Tamandua tetradactyla: one gene and its partners. The protein of the gene in region 1 interacts with the protein of each later gene in a biochemical or structural test. Links are inferred from orthologs where the notes say so. Each region holds a gene or a part of one and is shown on either strand. Other genes may lie near its edges. The genes, in order: RELA, PRKCZ, CEBPB and SETD7.

Region 1 (7,599 bases):
TAAAGTGAGGTATGGAAAGATCAAAGGTGATGGTGGAGTTATACAGAGAATATAGGAATTAACAAATGAATATGAATGCTGACTCATTACATTGATATATGTTTTAGTCTCCAGTATCTTAGAGCAGCTAGAAGGAAGAACCTAAAATATTGGAATTGTAACCCAAACCTAACTCTGAATATGTTCTGCAACTAATTGTAGTGCTGTGCTTTGAAATTTATTGCTTTTTTGTACATACGTTATTTTTCATAAAAAAAAAAGTCGATTGTAATGCTAAAAAAAATATTTATGCCTTCTAGCCTCCTATATTCTGGAGCAGCTAGAAGGAAAAATCTGAGAGGATCATATTATAGCTCATGACAAACTCTGGGGTCTGTCTTGTAACTACTTGTTAAAGAGTGCTTTGAAAACTATTGCTTTTTTATTTCTTTGCTTTGTATGTATGTTATACTATACAATAAAAAAGTTAAAAAAAAAAAAAAAGAAAGAAAGAAAGAAAAAGAAAACCAGTGTAGCTGCTGCAGACCTCGAGAGCATAGATACACTCCCCTGTGACTTATACCTAACCCCCTGCTCATCACCTGTACCTGCCTTCTTTATGCCCGTGCAGAATTCTGTATTTATTATTCTCTTGATTATGTTTTTAAAGAAAAAATATCCATTTATATATGCATGTCTATATTACATTGTTTGGGCTTGCTAACTTTTATTTTTATGAAGAGGGCACCATATTATATGTTTCCCTTTGTTTATGTACTTTTTTCATTCAGTCTTATGGGACTAAGATTTATGCGTTTCATAGTTCATTCCCTTTTCATGACTGTATACTATTCTGTTACGGAGCTATACCACAGCTTGTGAATCTATTCACCCTGAGGATAGGCGCTCAGGTTTGCGGTGCTTTGCTATTATAAACAGTGTTGCTAAGAACATTCCTGGGATTGTCTCCTGTTGTCTATATATCCAAGAGTTTCTCTTGGGTGTATACCTAAAAGGGACTTCCTGGGTCCTGGAATATGCAAATAGCCAATGATACAAGCTAATGCTACAATGCGGATACCAAGTTACACTTCCAGTAGCAATGTGGTACCAGACCTCCTCCACTTGACATTGTCTCCAAGATTTATTGTCAGACTTCATTTTAATCAAATGGTTGTAAAATGGAATCTGGGTGCAATCTTAATTTGCATTTCCATATTACTAGTGAGTTTGACAAACTTCCCATATGTTTATTAGCCCTTTGTGTTTCCTCTTCTGTAAAATGTCTGTTTATGCCTTTGCCTCATTTTACCATTAGGCTGTCTTTTTATTTCGATTTGTAGGCATTCTTTACACCAAGCCTTCGACAGGTGCTTGTGCTGCAAATATTATCTCCCAGCTCATAGCTTGACTTTTCACTCTCCTTAAGGTGTCATTAAAAAAAAAAAGACAACTTTTTAGTATAAAATGTAAATACACACGAGAGTTTGAGAATAGCATAACAAGTTTCCATGGATTCATCATCCAATTACAATAGTTTAGAATTCATGGCTGCTCCTGTTACCTTTTTGCTGACAGCCCCACCCCCACTCCCAGGAAATCTCCATTTCAGGGATTATTTTTGAACTATATCCCAGGACTCTTGGGAAAAAAGACTACTATGTTATTATCACACCTAAAATAATATTAATAACAATCATTTATTATCATCAAATGCCGGGCCAGCGTTCAAATTTAGCCTGTTGCCTCATGAGACTTTATTTAATAGTTTGTTTATTAAAAGCATCCAAACAAGCCTTTCTCAGTGCCTGCCCAATACACCATAAACTAAAAAGGGATAGCTATATAATGTGTAAGAATAACCTCCAGGATAACCTCTCGACTCAGTTTGAAATCTCTCAGCTACTGAAACTTTATCTCATTTCTCTCTTCCCCCTTTTGGTCAAGGAGGCTTACTCAATCCATTGCTGTCGGGCCCTGGCTTATTCTGAGATTTCTGTCCCATATTGCCAGGGAGATTTACACTCCTGGGAGTCATGTCCCATGTAGAGGGGAGGGTAGTGAGTTCACCTGCTGAGTTGGCTTAGAGAAAGCGGCCACATTTGAGCAACTAAAGAGGTTCTCTGGGGATGATTCTTAGGCCTAATTTTAAGCAGGTTTAGCCTACCCTTTGCAGGAATAGTTTTCATAGGGATGCACCCCAAGATCGAGGGCTCTCCTATTGATTTGGTTGCCCCTCATTTGATTATTATTTGCATGGAATAATTATTATTTGCATACTTTCACTTTCAACCTACTCATGCCTTTGAATTTAAGGTGATCTGTTGTAAAAAGCATATAGTTACGTCACACTTTTTAAACTTTTTTTTATTGTGTACTATAACATATATACCAAGTAAAGAAATAAAAAGCAGTAGTTTTCAAAGCACTCTTCAACAAGGGATTACAGGAGAGACCCCAGAGTTTTTCATGGGCTACCGTACCATCCTCTCAGATTTTTTCCTTCTAGCTGCTCCAGAATATAGGCGGCTAGAGAGCTTAAATACTTTTTTATCATCACAATCGACTTTTTTTCCTTCTTTTTTTTGGGAAAAATAACATATATACGAAAAAGCTATCAATTTCAAAGCACAGCACCACAATTAGTTATAGAACATATTTCAGACTTTGACACGGGTTATAATTTCACAATTTTAGGTTTTCAATTCTAGCTGCTCTAAAATACTGGAGATTCCCGGTGCCTGCCCATGCAAAAATAAAATACTGGAGACTAAAATAGATATCAGTTTAATGATTCATCACTCATATTCATTTGTTAAATCCTATCTTCTATGTATAATTCCACCATCACCTTTGATCTTTCCATACCTCTCTTTAGGGGTGTTTGGGCTAGGGCAATTCTAAATTTTTGCTATTGGAAGGGTCTGTCACTAATGTGGGGTAGGGAGATGGAACTATCTGACGTTCTGGAGAGGCTGGGCTAGGTTTCAGGACTTAATTGGACCAGGGACCCACCTGGAGGTTCTAGATTTCTGGAAAGTTCCTCTAGTGCATGGAACCATTGTGGAATCTTATAAATTGCCCTGGGTGTTCTTTAGGATTGGCTGAAATGGTCCTGGCTGGGGGTTGGCAGGTCTACCTGAAGCTTGTGTAAGAACCACTTCCAGAGTAGCCTCTTGACTCTATTTGAACTGGGCCCTCTAGCTAGGTTTCAGGATTTATCTGGTCCAGGGACCCATTTGAAGGTTGTAGGTTTCTGGAAAGTTATTCTAATGCATGGAATCCTTTATGATGGTTTTCACTGTACTATTTTTAAAAGTATAAATATATAAAAATCAAATAAAAGATCATGCCTAAATCAATGATGATTGCATGTCATTAAGTAAAGATTATAATTCATCCATTCTTCAACCTGAAATCTGCCTCCGCAAAAAAAAAAAAAAATCAAAACAAAAAAAAACAGACTTTTCTAATCAGGGACGCAAGAGAAACCGAAATGAGTGGGAGGGGTGGCAACTTCATTTTCACTTTTCTCTTCCTGTTTTTTCAGAGCCTGGGAAAGCAAGTCAGAATTTCCAGTCTTTTTCAATTCCCAAATGATTCCCGAATTTAGAACCCATTTAAAGAAAATAAGTTTTTCTCCATCTGGAGAAGGCTCCACCGCCTGCTTTGGAACGTCCTCAATCTGGGACGGGGGGGCGAGGGAGGACCTGGGGGGTGGGGAGGGCGCCCCAACCCCAGCCCCTTCCCCTCCCTGCAAGGATGCGCTTTGGGCCTGGACTTGGAGGGGGGCGATGGCATGACAATGGCATGGCTTGACTGATGGCTGAGCTGCCCCCAAGCTGGGAGCTCTGGGAAGGCAGGCGGGCCCCTACGGGTGCGAGGGGACCCCCGGGGACTTAGGCAGCCTGCTCCGGGCGTCTCCCGCCCACTCATCGTCCCCGAGGCACTTGAGCCGGAGAAGCGACTAGCCCTGGCCTAACTCGACCGCGGCCGCCCGCGGGAGGCGACGCGACCCTCGGCGCCTCAGTTGCCCCCTGGGCGCCCCGGGGTCCCGGCCCGTGGGGTGGGGGAGCCCGGCCACTCTCCTTTCCCTCCACTGCCTCTGCTTGGGGTGGACAGGAACTTAGCAGGTGCCTCTGCAGGTACAACCCCCGAGAGGCACCTTGGGTGCTCAGGGGCCGCGCGGGTCAAGTCCAGCGCGCGCCTCGGGGGCCGAGCAGGCCCGGGCCTTTCCCGGCGCGGGACGGGCGGCCGCAGCCCTGCAGCCCTGGCCGCGCTCCAGGCCGGGCGCGGTGACATCACCGCCCTCCCCCGAGCGGCGGGAGGGGGGCCCCGAAATCCCCTAAAAAACAGCGTGAGTAATCGCCCGGCCGCCCTCCAGGCGGGGCCGGGACTCGGGAGCGAGCGGAGCGGCCGCGCCCTCCCCGGGAAGCCTCTCGGACCCGGGTCTCGGCGCGGCGCGGCGGCGGCGGCGGCGGCGGCGGCGCGCGGCCTCCTCGCCCCCCGGTAGGCGCGCACCCGGCTCCCGGGCCCCCGCGCGGGGCGGCGGTGACGTAGCGCGCAGGCGCGGCCGGATTCCGGGCAGTGACGCGGCGGCGGGCGCGCGCGGCGCATTTCCGCCTCTGGCGAATGGCTCGGCTGTAGCGCGCGCGCCGCGGGCCCAGCTGCGACCCCGGCCCCGCCCCCGGGACCCCGGCCATGGACGGTGAGGGCGCCCTCTGACCCCGCGGGGGCCCCGCGGTGGGAGTCTCCGTGCCCCCCTGGCCCCCATTCCTGCGCGGGCGGGTGCCACGCAGGGAGCGGCCCGGCCGGATGGTGACGCGGGGCGGGCCGGGCGTGAAGGGGCCTGACTCAGTTTCCCCTCTGGGTGGAAGGGGGGGGCTGGACTCAGTTTCCGTCTTGGGTGGGGGTGGGGGTGGGTGTGCGGGGCCCTGACACAGGTTCCCCCCAGGGTCCATGGGGGCAGCGCTGACTTAGTTTACCTGTTAGAGGAGAATGTAGCTGACTCAGGTTTCCTTTCAGGAAGAGGGGTGGGGGAGTGCATCCTCTTAATTTTGGTTATGAAAGTAGAGAAGGCCTTGACTTAGTTTCCCTTAGTCAAAGGAGGACACCGTACCTAGTTTTCCCTCAGGAAACAAATGTCTCTGGACCTCTTCACCCCACCCCATAGTCTCCCTACAGAGTCTAGAAAGCAGGCCCTGACTCAGTTTCACTCCAGGGGAACCTGGTGAGGATGGGAAGTGGCTTGCTGACCCTTGTCTCCCTCCCCTTTCAGACTTGTTCCCCCTCATCTTCCCCTCAGGTAAGTATACTGTCCTTTCTCAATGGTTCCAGGTGGGGGTTGGCAGGGGGGGAGAGGGTGAGGGGCAGTGGGGACAGTGGCCTGCATCTCCCCAGCAGAGCCAGTCCAGGCCTCTGGTCCCTATGTGGAGATCATTGAGCAGCCCAAGCAGCGGGGCATGCGCTTCCGCTACAAGTGCGAGGGCCGCTCAGCGGGCAGTATCCCAGGCGAGCGGAGCACGGACACCACAAAGACCCACCCCACCATCAAGGTCAGCAGCCAGCCACTGGTTCCCAGAAGTGGAGTGGGGAACACAGATTGGGCGCTAGGGAGAGGCTGCGGAAGTGGTCTCCCTTCAGGCCTCTGTGCCCTCTGTGTCTGGGAGGTGGGATTGGAATTCTTGGGCCTCTAGGTGCTCTCTGTACTTTGGACAGATCAATGGCTACACAGGGCCAGGGACAGTTCGCATCTCCCTGGTTACCAAGGATCCCCCTCACCGGCCTCACCCCCACGAGCTTGTGGGGAAGGACTGCCGAGATGGCTTCTATGAGGCTGAGCTCTGCCCGGACCGCTGCATCCACAGGTGAACTCCCCGCAGGACCTGGGAGTAGGAGGCGATGACGGGAAGATGGGAGGGTCTCGTGTAGCTGTGACAGTCTCACTCCTTTCTATACACAGGGCAGAATTCCTTATTCCTTTCTCTGTCCCCAGGTCTGCAAAGCAGACTTGCTTTGTCTTGAAAATATTTTTGTGGGTTCATTCCTCCAGCAGATGTGGGCTCCTTGGGGCAGGAATGGGGCCCTAATCATCTCTGTGGCTGAAAGAGCAGGTCCCTTGGTGTTACACTGCTTGTGCTGAGAAAGAAAAACCACAAACCAGCCATCTCCCCTGGAGCTCACATACCAGGAGACAGAGACAGGCTGTAAATAAATATACAAATAAATAAGCAAGATAGTGTTAGAGTGATCATTTCAATGATGAAAATAAAACGAAGTAATTGGCTGTGAAGAATAACCTGGGGCAGGGGTTATTTCTTTGGATTGGAAGTCAGGCAAGGCCTCTCTGGGCTAAGACTTTGATGATGAGAAAAAAACTGAAGCAGGGAGAGAACATTCCAAGCAGAAAGAACGAGTGCAAAGGCTTTGAAGTGGGAATGAGTTGAGTGTGTTTGTAGAGACAGAAAAGGGACCCCTGAGGCTGGAGGAGCTAGGCAGGGGCCAGGTACCACGGGGCTTGTCAAGCCTGAGGTCAGGAGTGTGGTTTTTACTGCAGCACGATGGGAAGCCGTTGGACCACAGAGAGATGGTCTGGTTGGGAGTGGGGGGCACACTGAATAAGGCAGGAGGGTCTAGACTCTGCTGGAGACAGTAGGACTGATACCGGGGCGGGGACTCAGCTTTCAGAACCTTGGGATCCAATGCGTGAAGAAACGAGACCTGGAGCAAGCTATCAGCCAGCGCATCCAGACCAACAATAACCCCTTCCAAGGTAAGGGGTAAGGGTGCGAAGGCCAAGGGCTTGTTTGGAGCACCCCTACCCTCCATTACCTTCCTGAGGCCACCTTCCCTGCCTTTCTCCCTCATTGGCCAAGACTCACAGGATGCACGGGATGTCGCTGCCCGTTCAGTGCACACTCCCATTTTACCACTGGGAGCACTGAGGGGCATGGCATCAGGGTGACAGGTAGAGCCAGTGATGGGTCTAGAACCTTCTCTTCCTACTCCTCTGAGTTCCTCCTCCTATTTCCCATGCCCCTGATCAGCCCTCCCCGCCGAGAGCTCCCTGTCCCCAGCCCTGTCCCCCGGCTCTCCTGACCACCTGCTTTTCTGCAGTCCCCATAGAAGAGCAGCGAGGGGACTACGACCTGAATGCTGTGCGGCTCTGCTTCCAGGTGACAGTGCGGGACCCGGCAGGCAGGCCACTCCGCCTGCCGCCCGTCCTCTCCCATCCCATCTTTGACAACCGTGAGTCACCAGGGAGCTGTGGGCAAGGGAGAGATGGGTCTGGGGAGGAGGAAGAAGGTTGGGGTGGGTACAGCCTGGGATGGAGCTCGGGCTTCTGTCTGTCAACGGGTGCATTTGTCATCTCTGTGCCCCACTGGGGGCTGGCTAGGAGACACGGCAGAGGAGACCTGGAGCTGCCCTCAGGGTGCAGCTTCCAGGCCTGGCAGGGAGTCAGATGCATTTTCAGTATCCTGTGATGAGGGGCTGGAGGGGACAGGCTCTGCTCCCACTGGTAAGGGGATATATGTGTGTGGACGGGGTTGGTATTCCATCTATGAAAACAGGCTAGGCATTTCGGGGTAAAAATCTTCCTGCCAACATGGGGCATGACTT
Region 2 (6,843 bases), on another chromosome or scaffold:
CTAGGCCATCCACCCTTGGCAAAACTCACCCTTAAACCTCTACCCCTGCAAAGCTCACCCCTAGGTCACTCCCCCATGGTGCCTGGGCTATGCCACCCAGCTCTGAAGGGGACATGAGGTGCCACCCCCAACAGCACGGCTCCCACTCCAGGGACAGCAGCGAGACAGAAACTTCACTCTCCCAACCCACCTGCCTCGCCAACGGCCCTCAGGGCACGTGTGCACAGCCGGAGAATCCGAAGCACTGAGGGGGGTGGGCTCCCCAATATGGGGCGGCAAGGGGCCCCATATCCTCAGAGCAGGTGACCCCCCCAAAACAGCCCCCTGGGATGGCAAGAAGGGGGTGCACTTAGTGGGCTACGCAGGAGATGGGTGCACGACACCATCCAACATGTGGGCGAGGCTGGCCGCCCCCACAGGCCCGTGCAGACACGGCCCCACCAGCGGACCACCAGCCCCTCCTCACACACCTCCCCCCTGCAACCTGCTCCTCCCACCACCACCCCAAGGTCCAGGTCAAAGGGCACTTCCCTGCTCTTACCTGCAGCCTCTTCTCTGAGTGACCACCTGGACACCTCCGGAGGGCCAGCAATGGTCACCTCGGGCTCAGCCCACTCTGGGAAACGGCTCTGCCAGCACCTCTGATGGCGTGACCATGACTTCCAGCCCAGACAAGTCGGGGTACCTCCAGCTCCACGGCCCCACAGCCTAACACTTCCACCGTGCAGGCCAATGGTCCCACAGCCTAACATTTCCACCCTGCAGGCCAATGGCCCCACCCCCCGAGGCATTCTGCCACTCTTACCCCTGCGGTCAGCAGCCAGGAGGCTCCCCACTCAGGCCCCACACGGCACAGCAAACACCACCCCACGGGGCCCTTGTGCCTGCTGCCCCTTCCCTGTCTGCTCTACCAGTCACTGGCCCCTGGGCGGCGACGCTGGGGCAGCTGCAGCTCTATTGAGGCCTGCTGAGCAGACAGGAGCTCTGTCGAGGCGCGGGCGCCTGTAGGCCCCCCACTGCCACAGGTCACAGCACCCACCCTGGCTGCGGCGAGGTCTTCACGCAGAGGGGCCCTTGGGGAAAGTTCCAGAACAGAACTTTTCTGCACAGGGTGAGAGCCAGCCAGCGGCCATTCCTGGGATGCGGGGACGCTGAGGAGCTGGCCCCAAGGTGCTGGACAAAGCAGGCCCTCCCCCTGGGCAGGTGGTGGACACCCTGCACCCCTTCCCACCCCCGTCAGCCTCTGTGGGAGCGGGCACAAAGCCCATGAAACACAGGAGGGGCCCTCGCCCGTGGGGTGCTAGAGAAACCCCGTCTTTGCTTTTGTCTGAAAGGTCCAGTGACCATGCCTCCGGGCAGCGAGTGTCCTCTCAGGGGTGGCCTCTGAGCGCTGGGATTTCACCAGCCCCACCCCCACCCCGATTTCACCAAGCCCTAGTCTTGGGGGGCCCTTCAGGAATGGCCATGGTGGACTGGGTCTCCTGGGGGCCCAGTCCCGAGCTTCCAGGCACTCCCAGGGAGGGGCTGGGCTTAGAGAAGGTCCCTCCGTGGGCCAGAGGGGCTGGAGTGGCAGAAGGGAGGGAGTCAGAGGGGAAGGGAAGGGTGGGGTGGAGGCAGGAGGGGAGGGGAAGAGGAGTGGGGGCTGGGCAATGGCGGGAAGAGGGAGGAAGAGGAAAGGTGGAGGGAAGGAAGGGGGGAGCGGCCTTATCAGGAGTGAAACTGGAGGCAGCAGGTTGTATTACATCTGTGCTGCCAGTAACCAAAACGCTCCCTCGGGGACCAGGAGGTGGGGACTCCCCATCCCCCCAGCACCCTCGGATCTTCCCCTGAGCCCCCCCTTCTGACCTCCAACTTCCACCTGACCCCCACTGCTTGGCGCTGGAGGTACCTGCTAGATTCCTCTTGGGGGTCAGCTGGAGGGTCCCCACACCCCAGGCAGGGGGTTTCAAATGCCACTTGTGCAATTTGGAGGTGGCCCCTCCCAGCTGGGGCGCCAGCAAGTAGCGGCACTGTGGGGGCGCAGAAAGCCAAGATGTTCTGCACCCCTGAACCCCAGCCCACACCCCACACACCCCTCCTCCCTCGGGGTCCACCACTGACTCCCCCAACCACGGGTCTGCAGGGGACCTAGGAGCAGGCACCCAAGGCTGCAGATGCTGTGCTCATGGGGTGGAGCCCGAACCCGCCTCCGGGAGGGAAGGGGTGGGGGGCGCTGCCCTGGAGGAGCCGCGGCCTCGCGAGGCGGCCGCCCCCCACACCGTGCCCCCACAGGTGCTGAACCAACGGGGAGCGCCAGGTCCCAGCCGGGGTTCCAGCCGTCCTCGGCGCTGTCTGCACCCGCGGGCGGCGAGAGCGGGAGTCCCGCGCTCTACCCGGGAGCCCCGTCATCTGGTCACGAGCCCCCTCCACCCACCCCGGGCTCGCGGCCCTGAGACCAGCGACGGTAAGAGTCCAGGCTCCCGACCACTGCACCCCGGGAGGTGCCCACTCGCCCCATTCACAGACAGGGAGATGGAAGCCCGGGCGCGCTTCTCCCTCAAGACTCCGGGACCGGCCCAGCTCCCCGGGGCCCTCCCCCCCGGCCCCCGCCGCAGCGGCCTGGCGCGGCTTCTCCCTCTCAGCGGAGCGCCCTAGCCGGGCGAGAGGGCGAAAGTTGAGAAACTCGCTTCTTCTCCAGCTGCCAAAGTTTGCCCAGCTCCATGGAGCTGCGTCCCCCGGTCCCGCGACCTCCCTCCCGGCCGCGCTGCCAGGACCTGCGTCAGCGGCGACCCCGGTCCGCCCGCCCCGCCCCCGGCCCCGGCCCCGGCCCCGGCCCGGCCCGGCCGCCCGCAGGCTCGCGCGGCCCCTCCCGGCGAGGGCGCGTCGGGCTCCCGGGGACGCGGAGGGCCGGCCGGGCGCGCTCACCCGCTGTAGTGCGCCTTCAGGCGGACGCGCCCGCCGCTCCCGTCCATCTTGGGGCCCGGCCTGCTGGGCGTGGCGCGCTCGGCCAGGCCGTCCTTCAGGGCCGCGTCCCGGACGCGCGGGCCCACGGCGCGGACACCTGCCGGACACCTGCCGGACACCTGGCGGGACACCTGACGGGGCCGGGGCGGAACGCGGCGGGGAGCGCGCGGGTGACCCGCGCCGGCCCGGCCAACTCCGCGCGAACTTGGGCAGCGGGGCGGGGCCCGGAGAGCGTGCGGCCAATAGGCGGGGCGCGGCGCAGCCGGGCGGGAGGGGGCAGCACCTGCGGCCAATGAGGGCGCCGGCGGGGCAGCCACCTGGGCCAATCCCCGACGGGACCCCGCGGGCGCGGCCCAATCGCCGTGGCGCGGGGCGGACTACCTGTCGGGCCGCCGCCGCCTCACCTGCGGCCAATGGGAGTGCTAGGCGCCCGGCTCTGTGGAGCAACGCGGGGGCGCGGGCGGGGTCTCGGGCGGGGTCTCGGGGTTCCCCGCGCTCGCCTTGTGCGGGAAGCGGGCTGGCGGCAGCGGCCCTCAAGGTGGAATGCGAATTCCCGGGCTCCCCCGTCCGCTAGCCAGTCCCGAAGGCCCAGGGAACCGACCCCGACGGCGCTGGACCCCGGCGTCGAGCCGCTCATCGTCCACGGGCGGGAATCGGGCGCGCAGCGAAGCCCCCGGGCCCGGCGACGACCTGAGGCAGAGGGGACTGGATGGCTCGGCCAGGTTCGGGCTGGGCGGGTCTCCCGGGCGCGGCCCCCCCACACGTCGACCTCCAGAATCCCGGAGCCCGTTGCAGGGAAGGCTTATCTGCGCCCGCCGGGCAAGGTTGACCCCGAAACGCGGACCCCCCAAAGCCTTGGGGTCACCCTTAACTCCGCCACCCGTTACACCCCGTCCTCGGCGTCAGCCCCGCCGGCCCAGCTTGAAGAGATCCCGGGATCCAGCCCCTGCCGCCACCCGCTGACCCGCGCTTGCACCGACCTGCAGCAGCCCCCAAGTGTGCTGCCCTCAGCGTGGGTCAGGGGGCCTCCAGGATGCCCGCGTCTCCAGAGGTGACACCCCTGGCCCTGCAGGCGCCCGGGCTCTTGTCTCTCCTCCGCAGCTTCCCCACCTTCTTGCTGCCCCCACCCCTGCCCCCTTGCCTCTGCTGTTCCCTCTGCCAGGAGCGTCTCCCCGTCGGCTCCAGGAGGCTGCTGCCCACACTTCTGGGGGGTCTGTACCCCACCTTCCTGCCAGAGCATGGTGGCTGTCCTCTCAGGGCACCCACAGTTAGTGGGGTGGAGGGGAGCAGAGAGTTACTGAGTGAGGGGCAGTGTGCCAAGGGCACAGGGATGAACAGCGAGCAGCTGCGTGTGCTGGCCAGGGGTGCTGCCACTGCCAGGCAGGCCACCCAGCTTGCCCCTGACTGGGATGGGGAGGAGCAGCGCCACACTCGCTGGGGTGGGAGGTGGGCCGTGGGTTCCCGGTCACTGGCTTCAGCCGGCACCTCCCCACCTGCCAGGGGGGACCTCTGGCCTTGAAGCTGGTCCCCAGGCACCACCAGCCCCCATCACAGCAGGGGAGGGCTGGAGCAGGCCCCTCACCCCCCCTGCTAGCTGGTTTAGGGGGCCCCCCCGGGCTGAGTTTAAAGGGGAGTCCACACCTGAGCACCACAGCAGAAGGTTGAGGGACCCCGAAGCCTCTCTTCCGTGCGGGGGTCAGGGCAGGGCAGGGAGACGAGACTCCTTTCTGGGCGGGAGGCTCCCCTTCCCTTCCCCCATCCTGATATCTTCTGGCTTGAGGCCCCCTGTGGCCCCTATGCCTCCCCTGGCCATGTCCGGCCCAGAGCCTGGGTGGGGTGGGACGCTGCGCCCCACAGCTCTGGCAGGGGGGCTGGGTGGGTCGCGGGGGGTAGGGTGCACCTGGATGAGCTCCCTGCGGGCTGGAGGTGCCTCCCCACCCTTCCCTCTGGCCCCCTCCTCCTGCTGCAACCAACAGGGTTTGGTAATGAAGCCCCCACGGCCCCCCCCAGAGGGACCCAGGGTGAAGCCCAGGATGGATGGGCCACAAGCTGGCTGCTGGGGGGCAGGCCGCTGTGATTGCCTCCCCTCCTCGGTGCCCACACCCCAAAACCGAGCCTCCTGCCCTGTTGGAGGGGGGTGCCCGTCCCCTCCCTCCCCCTCGCCTCCCACCCCGCCCCAGAGCCTGTCAGATGGCATCGCGGGCCCATGCCCAGGCTGTGAGGTAATGGCCGGCCTCCCGGCCCTGGCCCAGGGTGACCCTTGGACCCGGGGAGGCGGGACAGGGGTGCGAGGGTGGGGCGCCAGGGGCGGAGGCTCTCTGCTCTCACGCTCTCAAGCCCTGTGCTCCTGTGTTTTCCAGTCTGTCCTTAAAGACCTCGTGCTTTCCGAGCCACAAACGCCCATTATTTCAAAACAGAAAAAAGGCATCCTTCTTTTTTAAGGGTTGTAAAAGTGGCACAAGCTGATCGTGCAGCTTCACCACCTGGGAGGCTTAGACAGGAAGCCCCCTGCCGCCCTCCCCTCCTGGCATGCCGGACCACCGGGGGTCCTTTCCTGTCCCGCCCAGCCCGGCCCGGCCCTTCCTGGAGGTGCAGGGCTGGAGCGGAGGGGTGGGGGAAGGTGTGCCCTCCCCCCACGGGCCTTGGCGTGCCCTCACAGGGCTCACCTTCAGCTCTTCTCTGGGGGGGCCCTCCAGGGACCCCGCGATCCTTCAGGCGAGAGGGTCGCTGGGCCTCCCTGGGGGCTTCCAGTGTCCCTCCCTGTACGGGGTCCGCCCCCCGCCCCCTGGCCCGGCGCTTCGGGGTGCGGCTCTGCCAGAGGGCCCAGCGAGGACCCCGTGGGCCGCAGGCCCGAGCCAAGGCACAGGAAGAGCCCAGAACCGCCGCTGAGCAGTCTCTGGCCCGGGCGCGGGTGGGAGCAGATGTTTCCTCTCTGTCATGATCACGGGCTGGCGCGGGCAGCCCAAGTGACCGCTCACACTCGTCCCTTCGTCATCTCCGTGGGGGGGCTGGTGGAAGAGTCACCCATTTTGGGGCCGGCTGAGAGCCAGCACGTCCCAGGGAGACATAGAGCCACGGCTGGGCCACGTGTGGGGAGCCCCGGAGGGCACTGCGGCGGGGCAGAGAGGCTGTGCAGGCCTGTGTCCCTCCTGGGGGTGGCCAAGGGACAGAGGAAGGCCCCACCCTCCTCGTGGCAGGGGTCCTGCTTGGTGGGAGGCGGGAGAGGAAGGTCGGGGCCTCGGGGCTCCGGGTGTGTGTGTGTGTGTGTGTGTGCACATTTGTGTGTGTCTGTGTGTATCCATATGTGTGGGTGTTTCTGTGTGTGTGTTGGTGTGTGTGCGCATCTGTGTTTCTGTGTGTGCATTTGTGTGTCCCTGTGTACACATCAGTGTGTCTGTGTGTTTCTGTGTGTGTGTAGATGTGTACCTACTGCACATCAGTGTGTACTGTGTGCTTGTCTGTGTGTACCTGTGTGTGCATCAGTGTGTGTATGTCTGTGTGTGTGTCTGTGTGTATGTATGTGTGTATATGTGTGTATCTATATTTGTGTGTGTCAGTGCATACCTGTGTGCATGTCTGTGTGTTTGTGTGTCTGTGCACGTCTGTGTGTGTCTGCACGTCGGTGTGTGTCTGTGTGCATGTCTGTGTGTGTGTGTGTCGGTGTGTACCTGTGTGTGCGCACGCATCTGTGTGTGTCTGTGTGTACACTGGTGTATACCTATGTGTGCATCTGTGTGTGTATGTGTGTCAGTGTGTACCTGTGTGTGCATCCGTGTGTGTCTGTGTGTGTTGGAGTGTACCTGTTTGTGCATCTGTGTGTGTCTGTGTGCATGTGGTGTGTATCGTGTGCATGTGTGCCAGTTTCTAGGTTGTCTCCTCTGGGCTCCAGGCCTGTGAAGG
Region 3 (7,169 bases), on another chromosome or scaffold:
AGACGAAAGGCAGGCCGTTACGGGGGGATGACCCGAAGCAGAGGTGTGGACACAAGGCTGCGGCAGACAGCTTCCTGGACTCCAACGGACAGCGACGTCCAACGTGTCCATGGTGACCTCCCCCATCATAAGGGGTTGCAGGTCTCCCTCCCGCCCAGCCTCGGCCCCCAGGTAACCACATGTGCAGCCCCTCCCCTCGACCAACAGAATGGGACAGAGGTGGGGCTGCGTGTTTTAGGCTTAAGCCTTCAGAAAGCCTGGAAGCTTCTGCTCCTGTGCTCTGGGGGATGTCAGCTGCTATGTAAGGTGTACAGTGGCCAGGAGACCACGTGCTGTGGTCACATGGAGAGAGCACTCAGAGAGCCATAAGAAGAGGCCACGTGAAGTCCATACAGAGACACCACATGCAGAAGCACCAGTGCAGAGGCCACGTGAGTCCCTATGGAGAGGCCATGTGAGAGATTCCTGTGGAGACACCACATGTGCAGGGGCTGCAGGTGAAGCCACGTGGCGAGGAAGAAACTCCCCGTGGGAAAGGAGAACCGAGGAGCCAAGGAGCCGATGTAGATGTGCGACCAGGCAGTGTCAGCTGTGGAGCTGTCCTGCGTGGATGCCACGCCTGGGACGAAGAAGCCCCCTTGGGTGTTCCCGCCTGCAGACCCCACGGCGCAGAGAGGAGCCGCTTCCGCTGTGCCCTGTCCCAGTGCCTGCCCATGGGCCAGGAGCACGTGAACTAGTTGTTGCTTCAAGCCCCTAAGTTTTGGGGTGTCTTTTTACACAATATCCAGAGCACCCCAGCCCTAGGCCTCCACTGGTGCCAGTTTCTCGTGCCCCTTCCCGTGGGAGTATCTGTATCGTCAAACAGCCTGCTCTTGGCTCTACCCGCTTAACGACAGACCTTAGAGACTGTTCTAGACGTGCTGGCCGGACTCAGCCCGGACCACGAGGCTAAGGTCAAGTTCATAAAAATTAAATGCAATGTGCTGGCCACATTTCAGGGGCCCCTCGCCTGTGTCCGGTGGGCATGTTCATTTCTTCAGTGGCCCATTTGTGGGCATCGGTCACCCGCTGGACTGACTCTGACCCAGGCCCCGGCGACGGAGCCGGCACGCCGCCCCTGCAGTTCCGGAGGCGGCCACCCGGGGGCAGCACGCACCCAGGCACGTCTCGCTGGCTGCTTCGCCGCCCTCAGGGAGGGAACCCCGCTTGGCAGATGGGGAAACTGAGGCCGCAGAGATGAGCATGGTGGGGGAAAATCACGGACACTAGAATCAGGGGATCAGCCTTCGCGATCCTGGGGCCTCCCTGACCTCTGCCTGCGTCCCCAGTACCTGTTTGTGACCTCTGGGGGTTAGAGATCTGATTTGGCCACGCGGGCGGCAGGCCCAAGGTCCAGCAGAGGACAGCGAGCCCCCGTGCAGGTGAGGGACGAGGCCCGGAGGGGACACCAGGCCTGGCCAAGGTGCCGCGTAGGGAAGGGCCCCGCCCACCAGCCCCAGCCCCACTGAGCCCCTAGCTAGCGGCAACCCCCCCAGCTGCATCCCGCACCCCCCTGCTGATGTCCGAGCCCCTTGCAAACCCTTTCCCCTTCTCCCTCACAGCTACGGCCGGTCCCCTTGGGTCAGCAGCCTCGGTCTTTTCCCCCTGAAAATGGAGCCAAGGGAGTGGGGGGAGGGGTCTCAAGGCAGTGGAGGCCGTCAGGCGGGCGTCCGTGGGGCCCTGCCCACAACTTCTGCTTTTAAAAGTGTAGCTGGAAATTTGAATTTTGATGTGAGGTCTGCTGGACTTTAAATGTTGGCCACAAATCCACTAAGAAACACAAAACACCAGCACCCACCGCGGGGCCTGACGGACAGGGTTGAGGTGGGCCATGGCTGCCCACAAAGCCGGTGCAGGGCGCAGCTGGGCAGGGCGCTGGGGGGGCTCCACCTGGGTCCCCCGGCCCCACAGCCACCCTGGTGGGTGCCGGTGGGGGTCCTCCTGCCCCCCGTTCCTGGGGGACCAGTGGAGCGGTGCGGTGGTGTAGCTGACCAGGGCACCCGCAGGGCAGGCTCGACCCGGTGGGAGCTGCCACGAGTTCAGCGGCGTGGGTGGGGGAGGCAGGGAACAAGGGCTTTGGTGGTGAAGTTTTTCACGGAGGCCAGCGGGCTAAGAAACCCGAGAGGGCTGAGTCCAGTGCTTTGGGGCTGGTCCCCAGGTTGCCCCCTAACTCTCTGTGTGACCCTGGGTCACCCTTCTCGGCCTTGGTTTTTCCATCCAGAAAATGGGGCTCGCATCATGCAACCTGTTACAGCTTACTACAAACCCAAGGGGAAGGTGAGACTGGAAAGACTGCAGCATTTCCCACCCTTTCATGTGACCCTGAATAGGCACCCTTAGCTTTGCTGGGCCTCAGTTTCCCTTCTGTTAACTGGAGGTGTTCCCTTCTGTCAACCTGCATCCTACAAATTATGGGGACAATTAAATGAGCCAGTATATGCAAGGAGCCTAAAACGTGGTTCTGAGAGGGCAGCAGATTGGCCTGAGGACACACAGTAAACCTCCAACCAGCTGGAGGCCTTCCAGGCCCCGCACCTCCCCAGAACCCTGAGGGCCAGGGGTCTGAGAGAGGAGCCCCTGCCACATGCCACCCTGCCCGGCCAGTGGAGGCCCCTGCTTCTTCTCAGTCCCCTTCATTCATTCATTTGCATTTCTTAGGCACCTACTGTGTGCCCGGCATGGTTCTAGACACTGGGGGACAGCAGTGACCCAAAAGACAAAAGTCCCTGGTCTGCAGGGGGCTGCCATGGGGAGGAGGTGGCGGGGACAGAAAGCACGATGGGCAGGTGAGAGAATTTTGAAGGTAACCAGAATGGTGAAGGAAATGAAACAGGAAGGGGTGAGAGGAGTGATGAGAGGTGGGGGCTTTGGACCAGGAAGTCAGGGAGGGCTTTTCAGAGGTGACTTTGAGGTGGGACCTGAAAATAAGAAGGAACTGCCTTGGGCAGAGCTGGGCAACAGTGTTCTAGGTTCCAGAGAACGTGGCAGAAGCCCTCACTCATGGGGCAGTATTGAGCATGCTGGGCCCAGGAGCCAAAGCTGCCACTGCCTGCAGACAGTCTTGGGGGAGGGGGGGTGGGGGTGGGGGTGGGGGGGTGGGGGTGGAGGAAGATCCAGGAAGACCAGTAAATAGGCTACTAGGATAATGGCGGCTGGAGTTAAGGGCTGTGAAAGGTTACCAGGGGATGCAGCAGGGAGGGCCTCTCGGAGGCGGTGGCCCTAAGCTGAGCCTGAGTGTACCAATTTGCACTCAGGAGCCTGGCTGGGCGGCTCTGGGGAAACCACCGCCAGCCGCGGGGCCTTGGATCCCTCCCTGGCTCAGAGGCTGCTGGGAAGGCACAGGGAGCCAGCAGGCCCATGTTTCACCCCCTCCCCCACCCGCCAAGGGCGCTCAGAGATGTCATTTCTCCAGCTCTAGGGGGCGGAGGTCACTCAGCTCAGCAGATAACGCCTAAAGTTGAGCAATGCCCGCCGCTGGGCCAGGGCTGGGGTCAGTGGGACGGGGGTCAGCCCCAGGCAGGCCGAGCTTCTGCTGGGGCGGCAGGGATTGGGAGAGGCAGGGGGTAGGCCCAGAAGTAGGGTCAGTGAGGGTGAGGGGCCCCTGAGCCCCTCAGTGGGGCACCCCGCCGGGACCACCTCTCCAACTGTGGAGTGGGGGCAGCAAAGCGCCCTCCCCCAGGGTTCTTGGGTGAAAATGTGAACGCCAGACCAGGCGCACCCTGAAAATGCGGAGAGACCCCGCTCCATCCCACGTGGCCCACAGCGAGGCCCGACCTGATCACCACCGCCACCCCCAGCCTCAGAACCAGTGGCTTTTGGGCCTCTGGGATTGGCAAAAAGGTCTTAGGGCGCTGGACGGGGGGGCCCTTGTTAGGGGGTGAATGGGGGACAAGAGGCTGGGGGCTCGACACGTGCCACGCCCCCTCCGGGCTTCCCCTCTTGGTGTCCGCTCTGGGGCTCAGAGCAGCCTTATCTTGGGGACTCTGGGGTGGGGACAATACAATTAATCAAAGAAAGGACAGCTCAGAGAAGGGAAGCGACTCTTCCAAGGTCACTCAGTGTGTGGCACAGCATCCCCTGCACCCCCTCCCCAGTACCCAGGTGGAGGTGGAGTATCCCGGGACGGGAAGGTGGAGTGGGCGGGGCTGGGGGGACCCCACCAGCCGGGTCCTAGCAGCCGCAGTGCCGCGAGCAGCAGCCACCGGCGCGAGCCCCGGCTCCTTCCCGCGGCCGGGGCCGGGGCGGGGGGCGGGGGGAGCAGGTTGGGGGGCGGGGAGGCGCCCGGGGAAGGGCGGTGGAGAGGGGGCGCCTCTCCAGGGCCCGAGCGGGGTTCGAGGTCTCCGGGGCCGGCGGGGCGCGCTCCTCCGCAGCAGCGCGCGGGCGAGCCTGAGGCCGCGGTGTCTCCCGGCAGGGGGCAGGCGGCCGCCGCGTTTGTAGCGGGGGAAGACGCTCCCGGCGCCCCCTCCCCGGATTCCGCCCCCCTCTAGCGTGGCCTTCGGCCCGGAGGGGGCGGTCCGGGGGCGGGATCGCGCCGCCCCGTCTCGCTCCCAATCGCGGGGCCGCGGGGTCCGGGTGGGCAGGGGGCGAGGCCGCCCCCCGCGGCCGGGAGCCCCCCGAAGGGGCGTGCCCGGCCCCAGGTCGGGCCGCCGCGCCCCGCCGCTGCCCTCCCGGGGGTCTCGGGCGGCTGCGGCGGTGGCCTCCGCGTCCCGGCGGCGGCGGGAGGGGCCGGGGCGGCCGCCAGGCGTGACGCAGCCGTTGCCATGGGCCGCCTTATAAATAACCGGGCTCGGGAGAAACTTTAGCGAGTCAGAGCCGAGCACGGGACTGGGAAGGGGACCCATCCGAGGGTCCAGGCGCCAGCCCCCACACCAGTAGCGGCCACCCCGGCAGCGGCGGTAGCAGCGACAGCGGCGGCAGCTCGGAACCGGGAGGCCGCGCCACCTGCGGGCCGGCCGGAGCGGGCAGCCCCGGGCCCCCTCCCCCGGCACCCGCGTTCATGCAACGCCTGGTGGCCTGGGACCCAGCATGTCTCCCGCTGCCGCCGCCGCCCGCCTTTAAATCCATGGAAGTGGCCAATTTCTACTACGAGTCGGACTGCTTGGCTGCTGCGTACGGCGTCAAGGCGGCCTCCGCGGCGCCCCCCGCGCCCTCCGCGGCCAGGCCCGGGCCGCGCCCCCCCGCCGGCGAGCTGGGCAGCATCGGCGACCACGAGCGCGCCATCGACTTCAGTCCGTACCTGGAGCCGCTGGGCGCGCCGCAGGCCTCGGCGCCGGCCACGGCCACCGACACCTTCGAGGCGGCTCCGCCCGCGCCCGCCTCCGCGCCCGCCTCCTCCGGGCAGCACCACGACTTCCTCTCCGACCTCTTCTCCGACGACTACGGGGGCAAGAACTGCAAGAAGGCTGCCGAGTACGGCTACGTGAGCCTGGGGCGCCTGGGGGCCGCCAAGAGCGCGCTGCACCCCGGCTGCTTCGCGCCCCTGCACCCGCCGCCGCCGCCGCCACCGCCACCGCCGCCGCCCGCCGAACTCAAGGCGGAGCCGGGCTTCGAGCCCGCGGACTGCAAGCGGAAGGAGGAGGCCGGAGCGCCGGGCGGCGGCGCCGCAGGCATGGCGGCGGGCTTCCCGTACGCGCTGCGCGCCTACCTCGGCTACCAGGCGGTGCCAAGCGGCAGCAGTGGGAGCCTTTCCACGTCCTCGTCGTCCAGCCCGCCCGGCACGCCGAGCCCCGCCGACGCCAAGGCGCCCCCGGCGGCCTGTTACCCGGGGGCCGCGCCGGCGTCCTCGCAGGTCAAGAGCAAGGCCAAGAAGACCGTAGACAAGCACAGCGACGAGTACAAGATCCGGCGCGAGCGCAACAACATCGCCGTGCGCAAGAGCCGCGACAAGGCCAAGATGCGCAACCTGGAGACGCAGCACAAGGTCCTGGAGCTCACGGCCGAGAACGAGCGGCTCCAGAAGAAGGTGGAGCAGCTGTCGCGCGAGCTCAGCACCCTGCGGAACTTGTTCAAGCAGCTGCCCGAGCCCCTGCTCGCCTCCTCCGGCCACTGCTAGCGCGGCCCCCGCGCGCGGCCCCCCGCCGCCAGCCTCGCGCCTCCGGGAAGCGCCCGCGCGCCCGCCCCCGCTCCGGGCGGCGCCGGCAGAACTTTGGCACTGGGGCGCTGGGCAGCGCGGGGAGCCGCCGGTCGTTTTACTAGTTTATTATATCTAGCTCTCTCTATTTTTTTTTTTTTTTTTTTGGCCAAAGCGACCGCCCCCCAGACGGGGCGCCCGCCCCCCGGCCCTCCTGGAAGGGGAGACGTCCGTGTGTCCGGATGAACGAGAAACTCTGCTTCTCCCGCGGCTCCGGAGTTGATGCAATCGCCCTAAACATGGCTGAAGGCGTGTGTCCGCGGACTGACGCAACCCACGTGCAACTGTCAGCCGGGCCTGAGTAATCGCTTAAAGATGTTCCTACGGGGTTGTTGATGTTTGTTGGTTGGTTTGTTTATTTTTTTGGCCTTTTTTTTGTATTATAAAAAAAAAATAATTCTATTTCTATGAGAAAAGAGGCGTCTGTATATTTTGGGAATCTTTTCCGTTTCAAGCATTAAGTAAGACACTTTTAATAAACTTTTTTTTTTGGAGACGAGTTGAAAAAGCCTTTTGGGGGCAGTAGTTGGTTTTGGATTATTATTCACGTTTTGATCTTTCTTGTGGGTTTATTTGATTTGGCTTTGTGCTTTGCTGCTGTGGGGGCGTCCTTGTGTGCGTGTAGGGGGCTGCTGATGTTATTTTTGGCTTCTTGGAGGTTGGGTGTGGGTGTGGCAGCTGGGGTTTCTCCTCCCCTGCTGCACCCCAAGGTCTGTGCTTGGAGATGGGGGCGCCGGCCTGGGGGAGGAGTGCTGGGTCAGGCATTTTGGAGTGACTCAGTGCCCCTGGGTGCTGAGGACCCGTGGCTAGGAGCCCTGCTTGGGGGGTGGGGTGGGGTGGGTCTCTGGGGAGTCAACTTGGTCCTGGGCAGCAAACCTGGGTTTGGGGGGGTCCTTGAGGTCTGTGGCCCACACACTGTCTGGAGGCGGGGCAGGCGGCCAGTGGCTGCAGGAGGAAGGGGCAGACTTTGAAGGTGCTGTGGGGTGCGCTGTTTGAAAAT
Region 4 (7,522 bases), on another chromosome or scaffold:
CACCCCCAGAGAACTTCTTTTGTTGCTCAGATGTGACCTCTTTCTTCAAGCTGACATGGCAAGTGAACTCACTGCCCTCCCCCCACCCCTACATGGGACATGACTCCCAGGGGTGTAACTCTCCCTGGCAATGTGGGACAGAAATCCCAGGATGAGCCAGAACCTGGCATCAAGGGATTGAGAAAACCTTCTTGACCAAAAGGGAAAAGAGAAAAATGAGAAGAAATAAAAGTGTCAGTGGCTGAGAGATTGCAAACAGAATCAAGAGGTTATTCTTATGCATTATATAAATATCCCTTTTTAGTTTATGGCATATTAGAGTGGCTAGAGGGAAGTACTAGAGGGAAGTACCTGAAACTGTTGCGCTGTTTTCCAGTAGCCTTGTTTCTTGAAGACGATTGTATTGTGATAAAGCTTTTACAATGTGACTGTGTGATTCTGAAAACCTTGTGCCTGATGTTCCTTTTACCTAGGGTATGGACAGATGAGTTAAAAATACGGATAAAAATAAACAAACAATACTGGGAACAAAGGTTAAAATAAATTGGGTAGATGGAAATACTAGTAGTCAATAAGAGGGAAGAGTAAGAGGTATGGTATGTATGAGTTTTTTCTTTTTTCTGTTTTATTTCTTTTTCTGGACTGATGCAAATGCTCTAAAAATTGGTCATGGTGAAGAATACGCAACTATGTGATGATATTGTGAGCCACTGATTGTACACCATGTTTGGAAAACAAGCAACGTTGGCATGTTAAGATCTATCAGTAAAAATATTTTTTTAAAAAACTGAGATGATCCAGTTTGCCAGAGTTGCCCTGGAGTCTTCCCCTTTCCTCTGTCTATACATGGACCCTGGGGCTCTTCATGCTCCATTTAGCTTTTCCCCAGGAAAGGTGGACAGAGAAAGTTTGGGCTTAGAAAGTATGTAGCCCAACCTCGTCATTTACAGATGGGAAAACTAAGGCCTAGAGAGCTTAACTGCCCAATGCACAGCTAGTGTTTGGTGGAACCCAAACAGATAAGGTGAAAACTCAAACTGGTGAATTTGGGGAATGGGGAGAAGCTGGCTAAGAAGTGAGCAGTGCCAAAATAAGAATTGATGCTTATTTAAAAGTTCCTTCATCCATTTTGCCTCGTCTCCTTAATGGAGATGTGAGCAAACGGAACAAACCAAAACCTGAACACCAGCCGCTGATCTACCAGTTACCTGGGGGGGGGAGCCCCCCGAGACTCCCTTTGGCTGAGCCCCTGGCGAGTACTTCCTCCTGGAAACACGAAACCCGGAAGTCTGCCCGGCCCCCTCCCGCCCCTACCAGTAGTGCAGAATGAGGGGTCAGTAGCAGCCAACACTAACGGAGAAGTTCTACACCCACCAGGTTTCTGCAATGTACTTAATATACACAGCGATAAGCTGACAGAATTGTTTCCCCTAAACGTAGGAAGGCGCATATCCAGCCTGTAAAAACATATTTACCACAAGAGTTATATCAGTCTTGTAAGTAAGCACCAGCCTTCTCCAGGGAAAGACAAGGGTGGTAAAATGAATGAAATCAACTTAGTATTTTGACTGCTTGCTGTGGGCGAAGGGGGACTTACGTTTCCCAAATAGAGTGTGAAGAGAGGGGACACATCTTTCGATGCAGGGACGCTAAGCCGAGGCAGCTTGGAAAAGTCACTGCTCGGTGTGTGCATGGAGGCACGCCCACCCCCAGGAGTTCCTGGACGTCCTGTGCAGGTGCCTTTTCTCCCTGGCAGGGCCTGTTCTGGCACACTGGGATATGCCGGGGTTAGGGGCTGAGCCACCGCTGCGGCCACCGCTGCGCCACTGCCGTACATTGCTGCTGATTAAGAGTTTTATTGATTTTCCAGCCCATGACCACACTGGTGGGGACAGACGATGACAGAGGGAAATGGTGGGAAGCCAAGTGGAAAGAGGGTTTATGAAATGAGCTGTCAATGAAGAAAACTGTGGGAAAGAATGTGATGGAAGCCAATCTGGGGCCAGTCGATGTGGGAAAGTAGAACAACTCAGAAATGTTCCTCAGGCTTGAGCTGAAACAAAGCGCTCTGCCAAAACACAGGAAGAGAAACCGGTCTGTGAGAAAGATTCAGCTCTGTTTATATAAAACAGAATATTCCTATCTGCTGAATCCTCACTGACAGTGCTTAACTCTCTCTCTGTACCAGGCACTGGATTGGGTTCTGGAGCTATAAATAAGACTCAGTCTAGAGAGAGAGATTGAAAATGCAGACGCAAAGTGATTTGTAAAAATGCAAGTGTGTCTTAAGGAAGTCATGAAAACATTGTGCCTAAGCTTTGGGCAGGGAGCCAGCAGGAAGGAATGGTGAGGGAAGTAATTCTTGCCATGGCCCACTCTCCCAGGAAGACCTCAATCCCCGTCTCCCTCTGCAGATCCAGCGGTGGCCTGCTTCAGCCAGGAGGGCCATATACAGGTGTTTCCAAAGCGGTAAGTAAAAGGGAACACTTGGCCAATCGAACACACAGTACCTGCTGGGAAAACCTCACAGCACCTAGGAGGGGTTGCACAACTTGCCTCTGAACCTAAATATGGAGGCAGGATGCTTGTGACATAATAATCGCTCCACGCCGACCCCACCATGGGCCGGATGCTCTGTGGTGCAACTGCGTGTTTGGAGGGAGATTTCTTCCAACCTACCGTCCCCTTGCCTTGGCCTCCTTGAAGAAAGGAATTCTTTTTGCTGCTTCCTTTAGCTTTTGGCATCTTCTTTGCCCCTGAAAATAAACTGGAAACTTAGGGAGAAAGACGAGCGTCTGCTGGGTTTTTGCACACAAGTGTAATACATAAGGGAGAGGTGATAAATACACGCGGAACTTCAGACAGTGTCGCCTAATGCAGAGGGCTTCAGAGCCGTCTAGCTAAAACCAGCCAATCTCAGATTAGTCTAACCTAAGCCAAAGGACCTCAGAGTGGTATACCCTAAGCTGGAGGGAGCTCACGGGGGTGGGGGGGGGTGGGGGGGGTGGACGCTAAGCCTCTTACTTCCTGCGGGAGGAATTCAGGCTGGCAAGGGTGGACCCCCTGGTCCAGGGCCCTTCCCTGTCTTTCTAACACAGCCAAAAGGGACTGAAATGCCTAGCCGTGCATGGGGACAAAAGTCCTCGGCATTATTCCCTTTTTCACAGAGAAAAGAATGAATTCAAACAAAACAAAAATACGCAATACTCCATTTAAAAAAACAGAACAAACAAAACTGTGATTTAAGCAGAGAGCTAAAAGCAAGGCGTGGTCTTCCACGTGCTGGAAGTATTTTGAAATCCCCAAAGTCTCACTCATCCTCCAGAAAACAAAATGGAACTTTCTTTCTTTGCTCTCCCACCTCCCTCCCTGCGCCCCTGCGGTAGCTGTGCTGGCAGATGCCCAGAGCTGCACGCTGGGATTCCACGGTACACTGCGTACATTTGCACCCATTTAACCAGCTATTTACGGCCGCCCTTTACCGCCACCTTTCCAAGACAGCGCCATAATGACATTGTCGTTATGAAGCGGGTGCCCACTGGTCTTCTCCATTGAAGACGCCCCAGCCTGCGGGGTGGTTGACACTTGGGAGAGACAGTTGGGGCCATCACCCGTACCGCGAGGGCCACGAGGGGGGCGGGCGCGGGAGCCGGAGGGTCCTTCCTCGTTAGCTCCGCCGGGCGGTCCATCTTCCATCCCCACCGCGGCGGGGAGGCACCTGCCCGCGCGGCGGCTTGTTTCCTGCCTGGAAGAGACCCCACTGCCCTTTGGGTTGGACGCGCCTCCGAATCATCCGAGGCGCTCGGGGGTCCCGAGGAGGGCGGGGCCTGGCCGGGATGGGGTGGTCCCCGCAGGCCGGCGGAGTCGCTCCGGATGGCACCCGCTCCAGTCTGGGGAGCAGTGTCGTGGGACACCTGCCCTGCCGAGCGTGCAGCCCTCGCGCGGCTCCGAGGGCAAATGGGGTGAAGTGGGGGGAGAGGGCGAGAGGAAGTCGAGGCGCCAGAGCGTCCGAAACGCTTCCTTTGTTTCCCCTGCGTTTCGGAGGCTGTCCCGAGGTGGGGGGCGGCGGGCACCCCTTGCACGGCCAACTTCCAACCTGGCCCCCTGCTCCGGCTGGGGGTCCGGAGCTCTAAGCGCCCCCGAGGGCGGGGACCCGGAGGGCCGCACGTGCAGGGGAGAAGCCCGCGGCGCCCAGGACCGCGTGGCGCGCTCGGAGCTCGCCAAGTCGCGCAGAAGCCAAAGGCAGACGCCGAGGGGCCCGGGGCTCGGCCCGGCGGCGCAGGGGGAGCGGCCCGCGAGCGCCTCGGGTCTCCAGGAGCCTTACTTCTGGGAAGGGACCGGGAACCGTCAATCAGCGAGGGAGGGAGCGCACCGGCGCGAGGTGATGTCAGCGGATCAGCTGCTCGCTAACAAAGAGGGGGGATCGCAGGAGAAAGTTGCAGCAGCGGCAGCGGCCGCAGCGGCACCCCGGGGCCTCGAGGGCGAGGGGCCAGCGGGCGAAGGGAGGGGGGACGGTTGCTGCCGCAGCAGCTGAAGGCCAAGAAATTGAAAGGGCTGTAGGGGGAGGGAGTGCCAGCCAGCCCGACTGCTCCTCCTCTTCCTCCTCCTCCAAACTCGCAGGGCTCGGCCCCAGCGCTCGCTCAGCCGCCGGGAGCACCGGGAGGGACGGGCGGCAGCCGCGCGACCCCGAGCTGGCCAGGGTCCCCAGTCGCCATGGATAGCGACGACGAGATGGTGGAGGAGGCGGTGGAAGGTACAAGCCTTTCTCCGAGGCTGGGGAACACGCAGCGGGAGGAGTGACGGGCTGCGGCCGGCGCGGCACCGGGCCCCGCGGCTGCCGCGGTTCGCTCGGCGGGTGGCCCGCTGCCCGGCTCGGGCGGGGGCCGGACAGCCACGGCCGAGCCGCCGGGAGCGCGCGCTGCGCGGCGGGGCGCGGCAGGCGCAGGCCGGGCCCGGGACTCGGCCGGGCCGGGGCCCCCCTGGGAGGGCACGGCTGCTCCCTCCCGCCCGGCGGCCGCAGCCTGCAGTCGCCTCGGAGTTGCGAAAACCTGCCGAGCGCTCTCCCCTGGCTTCCTCCTTTCGCGTCTGGGGGGCGGGAGGGGGGGCGTTGAGGGTGCGCAGGAAGGGCCCCCCAAGAGCGGTGGTCCCCGCCGAGCAATCCCACTGCCCCGTTTAGGACGGCGGCGAGCCTCGCAGGTGGCCAGCCCTTTCCTTCCGCTCGCCCCCACGCCCCGCAGCGGCCGCGGCCGGGTCGGGTCCCCTGGCGCAGCGCACTGGGTCGGGCCAGGCACGTGGCAGCCCCGGCCAGGGCGGGCGCTCCTCGGGGAAGATGAAATCATCGCAAGGCAAGGGACGGCGGGCCCGACCCGGGGCTCGATCGCGCGCGGGCCGGGAGGCGACCGGCCCTTCCCCTCTGCTGCCCCGAGCGCGAACCCGGGCCAGCCGCCCCTCCCCCGCCTGCTTCCCAACCCCGGGCGGCCGCGCCGTGCAGGCGCGTCTCAAGCCCAGACCGAAATTGCTGGGTGACACTTAACTTTCTGAATTCCATGCAGTTGGCTGTGTGTGATATCACTGCCTCGGTGTCGTGTTTCTCCGCCCCTTCCCTTCCTGCGCCCCTCCCCCGACTTTTCTCGCCACTTTGTTTTGCTGAGTTTCTCCACCTCTTTTTGGCCGGTTCTGAAATCCTTGTGGAACGTTATACAATCTCGTTGTTTGTGTCGTGAGCTGTTAGGATTTTGTAACAGCGAATATTGGAAAATACTCTTTAGCCTATTTATTTGGTTCTACCCCAGACAGGACGTCGTGATGTTTTGCAATGTTGTGTGGTATTATTCCAGAATATTTTAAACTAGGCGTCTAAGCAAATAATTTTTAGCTATCGGCTGTATCTGGCTTCTGTCTAATCTGTGTAAACAAGTAAAGAAAAACAAACAGTAAAGAAAAACAAAGTGGCGACATTGTGCTAATACACACGAGTACATAGTTGTTTCCTCATTGAGAGTAAATCGATTTTTATGTTTTTATATAAGATAATTGAACTCCTTTTGCAGTGTTTCCTAGGTCTTAGGATGAAATTAAGTAGAATAATATTTCTGAATTCTCTAAAAGATGTCATTCTAATGTAACTATTAAAATTTCTTACTTCATCTAGCTTCCAGGACAACTTAAAGAATTTTTTAATTAAAAAGATTCACAATGCTGTGAATCCACAGAGCTATTTACCTCTCTAATAAATAAAGTGAATGTGGGCGTTTATTGGGTGGCAGAGACATTGAATTGACCCATAGGAAGCCTTATTAGAATCTAAAAGTTATTGGCTTCTTGTGCCTCCCTGATAGGAAAGAAAAATGAAAAAGGCTCTTCTCAAGTTGTAAGGGTTTGCTGTCCTTGGAAGTTTAATTTTACTTGTGAAAATGTAATGTAAACCCTTGGGCACTGGAGATGCTCCCCAGGCTAAACCATCTTCCCCTTTGAAGCTGTTTAGAAACAAAGTCAAGTTGTCCCAGGGTCCTCTGCCTCATTTGCAGAATGTAATCTTAGAAATGTAGCCTTAGAAATGTAGCATTGTTGTTGCTGAGATTGTCCAGTGGATTGGAAGGTTCTTACTAGTTACATAGAGGGACCATATATATAATTGTCCAAATTAGAACATTCAAAAAAAAAAAGAAATTAAAAAACAAACAAAAACAAATTGAGAATGAGAGAGGCGCTATGAATGATTATGCTGGGACAACGAGGTAGAGCTTGAATGTGGGGGCAGTCTGGGACACGTGGTCACTCAGCTGTGCCTCCCTGTAATAATATAATGACAAGTGTAACACAGAGTCTTTGAGAGTCCTTGGGAGACCCTCAAGCTCCAGCATGCAGTAAACTGTACCCCCCAACTTTTTCTCCAGCCACTCTTGGGCTTTTTACTGCTGGGTATAATGCACTTTACTTCTCACCAACTGACACGTGCATGGGGGAATGTTGTAAACTACTTGTTCCTTTTTCCTAAAGAGAACCTAGTCTGAAGATGTTGCTGTGTAAGTACCACGTAGCCTACCTCTCTCCGTGAACAGAACCTCTGTTCTCAGTAGAGAACATACTAAACAGAATCTCTGTTCATTGTCGTAGCTATTATTATCAATAAAATAATTATATTATTGTTTAGTTCTTATGATGTGCAGTCTCAGTGTGGTTTCACACATTTTCTGTCCGGTTACTATTATGAGATGGGCACTAATAGGATCCTAATTTTACAGAGAGGGAACCAGACCATAGAGAAGTTAAGAACTAATCCAAGGGCACTCAGCTAGGAGACAAGACAAGCTTGGAGCTTCCAGAATTTCATTGCACCATACCAGTTGTCTCTCTACATTATAAAAATTTTAATGGGCGAGTCAAGTATATGAAAGAGATGGTACCTGAGTTTGGAAGAGCAGTTAAATATTACACCAGTTTCATTATCACTGTAACTCTTTAGAGGTTGGTTATGATAGAGTTCCGTGAGAAAAGATTTGAATAAACACAGTTTTAGTAC

What was found.
Region 2: of the proteins of RELA (region 1) and PRKCZ, one has a biochemical effect on the other in vitro, tested with the Homo sapiens proteins (2 studies listed by BioGRID). The link is inferred for Tamandua tetradactyla from reciprocal best matches to the Homo sapiens genes RELA and PRKCZ.
Region 3: the proteins of RELA (region 1) and CEBPB form a complex in vitro, tested with the Homo sapiens proteins (2 studies listed by BioGRID). The link is inferred for Tamandua tetradactyla from reciprocal best matches to the Homo sapiens genes RELA and CEBPB.
Region 4: of the proteins of RELA (region 1) and SETD7, one has a biochemical effect on the other in vitro, tested with the Homo sapiens proteins (3 studies listed by BioGRID and IntAct, with this or other methods). The link is inferred for Tamandua tetradactyla from reciprocal best matches to the Homo sapiens genes RELA and SETD7.

What each region holds. Positions count from the first base shown.
Region 1 is NC_135335.1:8,858,749-8,866,347, forward strand, and holds the start of RELA (transcription factor p65), read left to right. Parts: upstream 1-4,590; 5' UTR 4,591-4,680; coding exon 4,681-4,687; intron 4,688-5,257; coding exon 5,258-5,284; intron 5,285-5,379; coding exon 5,380-5,534; intron 5,535-5,697; coding exon 5,698-5,846; intron 5,847-6,659; coding exon 6,660-6,751; intron 6,752-7,095; coding exon 7,096-7,227; intron 7,228-7,599. UniProt on the Homo sapiens protein: NF-kappa-B is a pleiotropic transcription factor present in almost all cell types and is the endpoint of a series of signal transduction events that are initiated by a vast array of stimuli related to many biological processes such as inflammation, immunity, differentiation, cell growth, tumorigenesis and apoptosis.
Region 2 is NC_135328.1:222,906,017-222,912,859, forward strand, and holds the start of PRKCZ (protein kinase C zeta type), read right to left. Parts: upstream 3,020-6,843; 5' UTR 2,952-3,019; coding exon 2,905-2,951; intron 1-2,904. UniProt on the Homo sapiens protein: Calcium- and diacylglycerol-independent serine/threonine-protein kinase that functions in phosphatidylinositol 3-kinase (PI3K) pathway and mitogen-activated protein (MAP) kinase cascade, and is involved in NF-kappa-B activation, mitogenic signaling, cell proliferation, cell polarity, inflammatory response and maintenance of long-term potentiation (LTP).
Region 3 is NC_135327.1:2,604,236-2,611,404, reverse strand, and holds CEBPB (CCAAT/enhancer-binding protein beta), read left to right. Parts: upstream 1-4,759; 5' UTR 4,760-5,035; coding exon 5,036-6,091; 3' UTR 6,092-6,663; downstream 6,664-7,169. UniProt on the Homo sapiens protein: Important transcription factor regulating the expression of genes involved in immune and inflammatory responses. Also plays a significant role in adipogenesis, as well as in the gluconeogenic pathway, liver regeneration, and hematopoiesis.
Region 4 is NC_135348.1:28,466,788-28,474,309, forward strand, and holds the start of SETD7 (histone-lysine N-methyltransferase SETD7), read left to right. Parts: upstream 1-4,504; 5' UTR 4,505-4,713; coding exon 4,714-4,753; intron 4,754-7,522. UniProt on the Homo sapiens protein: Histone methyltransferase that specifically monomethylates 'Lys-4' of histone H3. H3 'Lys-4' methylation represents a specific tag for epigenetic transcriptional activation.